2 separate regions of the Mus musculus genome follow, and region 1 is reported to be linked to region 2. Evidence: microRNA targets listed by miRTarBase, many of them from high-throughput screens and not tested one by one. Region 2 holds a microRNA gene; the other region holds the end of a gene's coding sequence.

Region 1 (3,403 bases), not on the chromosome of region 2:
CACCCAGTCCCTGGACATAAAAAGGCCGTACAACTTGGTTATGCAGATAACCTGGCTAGGGTTTTGAGTCTTTGGGACGTGCAGTTAGGTAGGTAGGCTACATGATGGGTTCTTCTGACCAGAACTGACGTCATAGGCTATTCTGTGTTGACAAAAGAAGAGTTAAGGAACCGCTAGCTGAATAAGGAATGCCTCCTCTCGCGTGTGTCTGATCTGTATGGTAACTTTTAATTACACAGACAGAAAGAACATACTTCCAGGTCTACTTGCCAAAGGGGAGCAAGGAAAAAAGCAAAGCCATGTTCTTTTGCCTGCGGTGGAGCATCGGGAAGGTTGTGGACTTTGCAGCTTCTCTCGCTAATCTCAGGAATGAAAACAACAAGCTGACAGCGAAGGTAATGTCCGGTGACCCCTTTTCCTTCAAGTGTTGGGATATGTCTGCAAGTGGGCCTCACCCTGTGCGCCTTCTCTCTCTCTCACCAGAAGCTGAGGCTGTGTCATGTCCCTTCAGGAGAAGCCCTGCCATTGGATCACACATTGGAAAGGTGGATCACGAAGGAGGAGTGCCCTTTATATAATGGAGGAAATGTTATCTTGGAATATCTTAACGATGAAGAACAGTTTTTAAAAAATGTTGACTCTTACTTGGAATAGTCATTCAAGGATTCAAGCCAGCAGAATCCTTATAAGCAGAAACCACTATCAGTAGACAGTCAGCTTTGTTGTGTTTGTTTTGTTTGTTTTACTACAGATACTTTTTTAAAACTCTCAAAGTTGCTGTCTTAGAATTTATTTCCATTAGGTCCTAATTTACACCAGTAGTTTTCTACTAGGTTCCATGTTGGTGTTTAATTATGTGTTGACAATTACTGGCGAAGTATTTTATTAGCTGTTTCTGGGTTAGGCTGTAGAAATATCAGCAAAAGTGTCTTTCCTGGTAGACTAATGGCAGCCATTGACTGGCTGCTGTGTCACAGCCTGTACTGCCTTCCCTCCGAGATCCCGCTCACACAACACCCACCTTTTTGTGATTTTGCCATTCTACGGCAGAGGAAGCTGCAGATGGCAGACTCTTTGGAGGGGTCGTACAAGTGGTACTTACCAATATTATTTAAAGGAAGTCCTATGATTAAACCTCATATTATGTCCAGAATACATAGCCTTACTGGATACCTAAATCATGACGCATGAATTGCAGACTCTTGCAGATCCTCTCATTCAGTCTTCCAGGATAAGGTGTGTGATAAGACACCACATACCTAAGAAGGGAACGTAATTTTTTTGGTATCATGTAATTGCACTGGATATGTTTCTGGTAAGGAGTTTTCTCTAGTAGGATTCAACTTTTTGTGTGTGTGAATGTATTACAAATGAGAACTTCACTCGAATAAACTGATTTTGTTACAGTCTATGCTTCCTGTAACAAAGCGAGACAATTATTGCATTTGATCTATAAGTTGAAATAAGTCCTCTTGGGGAATGCCTTCTGTCTACACCTGAGGAGAATGAGTGTCTTCTGTCCACACTAGATGAAGGCCTACATACACTGTGGGAGGGAGCAGTAGGTTAATTAAAGAGTAAGCTGAGCATGCTCATTTGGTCTTTGTCAGCTCCATCTTTTCATGTTCAGACCATAAACAGTGATAATTTCTTGCTTTTATCAGACTCTAAATTCATTCCTTTATAGTTACCTGTGTGCCTACTTAAAACAAAAGTGTCTGATTGCCAATGTGGGCACAAGAAGCCACACTTAGGCAGAAGATAAACTTGGAACTAGCAGACAGAGTTGTAAGGCAAGTTGCAGATAAGTGAATAGGCAGTATAGCCATGTTACAAGAGCTGTTTTATTGGAAACTATCAAACTAGAGTTAGAAATCACCTTTTTTTTTTTTTTTTTTTTTTAATTTTTCGAGACACAATTTCTCTGTAAAGCCCTGGCTGTCCTGGAACTTACTTTCTTTCTTTCTTTTTTTCTTTTTTTTTTTTTTTGAGATACCAGAAGTTTTAATACCAAGCAGTACTTTAATCTCCATTTTGGACCTAGTAGGTGGCCAGCACCTCTAATTGAATGAAAATTGAATATGCCAGAAAAATAATACCTACTGAGAAGATGGCAGGCGAGGCTTGTTTCAGGAAGTATTAAAAAATTCAATTCACACTACACCAGCAGGCCCTGGAGGGCTGGCAGGCCTGGCACAGGCAGGCATGGCTGGCCTGTTCTCATCTCGTGGAGACTCTGCCTCAGAGCTCCGAAATCTCTCCATCCAGCTTGCTAAGTTCCCACTGGTGGGTTAATACCACGCCAGCCCCACACTTGAAAATTCCCATAGCCTTTTTGGGGTGCACTTCTCGCAAAGCCACACTTTGCTGCCATATCTTTCTCTCTGGAACCCAGTTGAGCCACCTTGTGAAGGAAAACACCACACAAACTTAGTTCAGAATCAATGCTAACTCAATCACTGGGCGCAACAACTAGCATCCTAATCTTGTTAGCCGTATTAATTCTAAATCCTCCAGGGGTCACTTGTAGCTGCATCTTGCCTCCCACTCTCCCTGATCAAAAGCCCCTATCTCTCTTCTGCCTCTTACCCAGAAGTCCCGCCTACTCACCCAGTGATTAGAAAGGTCACATGAAGTCCTGGATACGTGATTCACTCCTCCAGACAGCCCCTCTTAGATTAGTTAAATTAACATCAGATTTCAAATAGCGCCAGGGCTACTCACAACCGAGGCTGACTGGAATTGACACCTAGAAAGGATGAAAAATGTCTTTTCCCAGTGAGCAGATGAGAGACAAGTCTATCCAGAGAGGAACCTACGACAGTGAGTACACAGTCCATAAGCTAGGCCCGTCCTAGGGATGGAGCCCACGGGGCTGGAGGACGTCAGGATGAGCGAGCATCCTTGGCACTAAGCATTGGCAGGTTAATAATCTAAAGAGAACAAGGTGTGGGTGGAATCTCAGTCCCCTACCTCCCTATGTCCAAATAAACACTCTGAAGGGCAGAAATCTCAGGTTCACATTAAGTTGCCTAATGAAATGGTAGGCTTACAGTGTCCCTATCTTACTTGGTGTTCACGTGCTGCAAGGGAAGCCATGCAGCATAGGAGAGGAGTGTGGGTGAACCGTTGAAACAATGCTTTGATACTAACGATCACCAGTCTAAAGAACAGAAAATGCATGAGAAAACTGGATAATAGGATTCGTCTTATCTACATTCATCAGGTTTTTTGTTCTGAAGTCTTCAGAAGATGGGTTAGGAAACAAAAACTGAAAGAAAAAACAAAAACACTAGATAAAGTGCTTGGGGGGAAAAGCATACACTTTATTTTTTAAGTTAGATTTAGTTTTGGTGTGTGGGGACACACACCACAACATGTGTGTGTAGTCAGAGGACAACTT
Region 2 (3,403 bases):
CCGATAAAGCGGAAGTAGGTGAGGTGGTCAGGGTTGATGGAAGAGGCCGGGTTGATCTGCAGGCAGTAATTGTTCTTCCCAGCATATTCAAACAAACAGTACATAGGGTTGAGCACCTCATGGGACAGGAGGAAAAACCACTCTCTGTGAGGGAAGAGAGGACAGGACAATGGGACCCTCTGCACAGCAGCTGGGGTTCTGCTGGGTCAGAGCACCTGAATGCACGTGCCTGGGGGGATCAGTGAGCCAGCTCATCCCAGGTCTTGGGTGAAGAGGACAGCACCTGAAGTTTGTGCTCAGGAAAGCCCGTGTGTGTGCCTCTCAGCCCCCTGGGCACAGTTATGCTACAATATCTAGAGCACTGGATGGCAAAGCGGCTCCTCACCCCCAGGGCCACCATGCCTCACTGTGCGGGCTGTGCACCATATACAAAGGTAACATTTTAAAGCACTGTGGGCTGTGCTGGCACGGAGGCTCGGCAGGTAAAGGCTCTTGCTTCCAAGCCTGACAACCAAGTGTAATCCCTAGAACCCACTTGGCATACGATGAGAACTGAATCCTGGGAGTTGTCCTCTGACCGCCACACATGGTATACGATCCATGAGAACCCCTAAACACCTATGCCCCCAAATAAATAAATAAATAGATAAATAAATGTACTACAACAACATTTCTGCTCTATGACAGTAAGCGCCCCGCTCCACCCCATTTGGTATGCAGTGCAATGTAAAGAATACACAGTAGCATTTTCCCAAAAGCTGAACCTTGAAAGTTCTGTGACTCATTTGGCCTCTAGACACCTCATCCCTTCAGGGTACCCCATAGGTACCTCACTTGTAGGTTTCCCTCCCTTCACCCTAGAACCCATTAGCATACCCTAACCCAGATTTGGATCCATTTATCTCAACCAACACCCACCCAATAGACGCCTTAGCATCTATCTGCACCCTACATATAAGCCTCAAGCCAGAATTCAGGGTCCTTCAGAGCTTGAGCTAAACAATTGGGGAACAATCGGGGAATCGTAGTCAAGGGGGGCCAGCCCCTGGCTGCTGGGCTTTGTGGCTGTGTAGATGGAGTCCTTCGATGCAGAGGGTGCTCCAGTACCCTGTCCGTGGTTCTACCCTGTGGTAGAACAGCATGACGTAACCTACCATAGGGTAAAACCACTGGCAGGACACAGAGAGAGACACACAGGGCGGGAGCCACACCAGATGCCCACCAAGCACAGCCTGGAGAGGTCACACCGAAAACAGAACAACTCATCTGCAGGATGGGATGAACACAGAAGACTACACCACCAGCAAGCAGGGTCAACACAGAAGACTACACCACCAGCAAGCAGGGTCAGAGGCGGGGAGCCCAACTAAGTCAGATGACAGCCCCACACCACAAGGTCAGCAGGATGAGAGGTCACCACAGCCAAGAAGCCCCTTCCCACTGCTAGGACTCTCTGCCTGTTGTCCACGGCAATGCTTTTCCAAAGAGCCTGTTAACTTTTGTAGGGTGAAGGTAACACAGTGCTCTGGGTTCTTTTAGGGTTTATACCAACTGTTTTAATGTTATTGACTGGTACACAGGACATGCAGCAGGAGTGGCAATGCTTAGACATACCAGATGTGCTCTGAGAAATCTGACTTAACCTGCTCTGGCTGCATCACATAGAAGGAAAGCCAGGGGCTGATTTTACGGGACACTTGCAGACCTTACAAGCTAGCCTCTGCCCATTGATACAACGCCAAGTTGTTTTTAACTATAGAAAAATGGCATGTAGGCTGGCATAGAACCACACACCATGCCCCCTCCCCAAGAAGTCTCTTGCATCCCCATAATCTAATAATGGAAAGGGCTGAGGCCTGGACCTGATTTGTAGCTTACTGATATTAGCCAGAGAAATTTATGAAGGGATTTTCTTCTTCGTTTTGGGAACAGGGTCTCCTGAGACTCGTGATGGCATCAAACTCACCACGTAGCCAAGGACAACCCTGAACTCCTATCCTTCTGCTTCTGTTTCTCAAGTGCTACAGCTACAGGTGTGAGCTCCTGTGCCTGGTTTATGTGGTGCTGGAGAACAAACCCAGGGCCTGCAGGGTAAAAAAGCATCCTGTCTTAACTGAGCTACACCCACAGCCCAAGAGATTCCTGTGAGTGCCACGCCAGTGCCCTTCCTGTTGATACAGGAGAACTCAGGGAAAGAATAGCATCGAGGAGAGAGCTTTCTCAACGTGGGCCCTGAAGCCAGGGGACATGGGTTAGAGTACAGCGCTTTGGGCACCCTGGCTCACCTGGCGATGCCGCCGTAGTCCAGGCCCTCCTCACCACGCATGATGATGTAGAGCCGGCGGCGCAGGTCGTAAGGTTTCATGTTCATAATCTGGGGAGACAGGGCATCCGGCCATCCTGCCCCTGACCCCAGCACAGAAGGCAGGGATGTGGGGGCAGGGGACTCTATCTAAGGCTTACTGTCTAACAGATATGGTCACCAACGCTTATGCCATGAGACAGGATTTTGGGTGATGGGAGGAAGCCTGCTTGCCTAGGATCCTGGCATCAGGAATATTCTCTAACCTGTTGGAAAGAATCCTCAAAGAGTGTCTGCCTGGAAACGCTGATCTTCACATGGCTGGGTAGAGCATTTGACTGAAAAGAAAAGGAAAATTCTTAACTGGGGCTTCCCAAGGGTGCCCACTCCAAGGGCTCTTCCATCTGCGATGACACAGCCCCACCCCCCAGGGTTAGAAGCCTACTCCTTCAAGACAAACATCTCAGAGTGGGGCAAGCATCTTGCTCCTACCTAAGGCACCCCCCAAAACAGTGGGTCGGGAGACCAACCCGACAGCAATTACCAGCCCTACTCCCACAGAAGCCGCCAAACCAGAACTCACGTGGCAGAGGAAACGGAACTGGTGATACTTCCACCGAAAACTTCGGTCATAGGCACCAGGTGAGCCTTGCTTTGTCCTGGCGAGAGCAAAGGATATGTAGGGACCGATTGATTTCTTAGAAAATAAACAGCCCATTTCTGAGAGCCCTAGGGAAAGTGGATGCTCTGCTCCATGAATTTAAAGAGGAGTAGATTAGAGCAAGACACAGGAAGGGACTGACACTGAGACTCAAAGACGTGGGAACAGTGCCCTACAGTCAGTTACTAGAGGGCAGTGGTTAGAACACACACACACATATAGATCCCTCTTCCCCGGGTAGCCTAACAGGACGACTGGGGCTGCACTAGGGGACAAGGCTGTGGTTGTAAAGGTCCTTACCCTGACTCGAACCCTGGGCGAGGATCCTTAAAGGTAGTGGTGCGGGTATTGTGGTCCACAAAGTACCGCACGCCCTCGCTGGTGTATTTCATCTCCCACCCTGGGGGCAGGGCTGGCTCCTGTATCATCCTGAAAACAGA

Evidence for each region. The annotated mature microRNA mmu-miR-140-5p reads CAGUGGUUUUACCCUAUGGUAG and lies in region 2 at 1,151-1,172, opposite strand. An mRNA with a match to its seed (bases 2 to 7 or 8) in the 3' UTR can be bound and repressed. Matches are read on the target gene's strand: a 7mer-m8 pairs with bases 2 to 8, a 7mer-A1 pairs with bases 2 to 7 and ends in A, and an 8mer does both.
Region 1: miRTarBase lists Zfand1 as a target of mmu-miR-140-5p. Seed matches in the 3' UTR shown: 8mer at 695-702.

Annotation. Positions count from the first base shown.
Region 1 is chr3:10,337,986-10,341,388 of GRCm38, reverse strand. Zfand1 (zinc finger, AN1-type domain 1) reads left to right here. Exons shown (of 8, transcript NM_025512.3): 7 at 240-395; 8 at 484-1,433. The coding sequence ends at 654. Among named protein-coding and RNA genes, the nearest start is that of Slc10a5, 4.0 kb to the right of the region's middle.
Region 2 is chr8:107,549,018-107,552,420 of GRCm38, reverse strand. It overlaps Mir140 (microRNA 140), which reads right to left and starts at 1,177; the gene lies at 1,108-1,177. Wwp2 (WW domain containing E3 ubiquitin protein ligase 2) reads right to left here. Exons shown (of 24, transcript NM_025830.4): 13 at 3,264-3,392; 14 at 2,886-2,961; 15 at 2,569-2,640; 16 at 2,286-2,374; 17 at 1-144.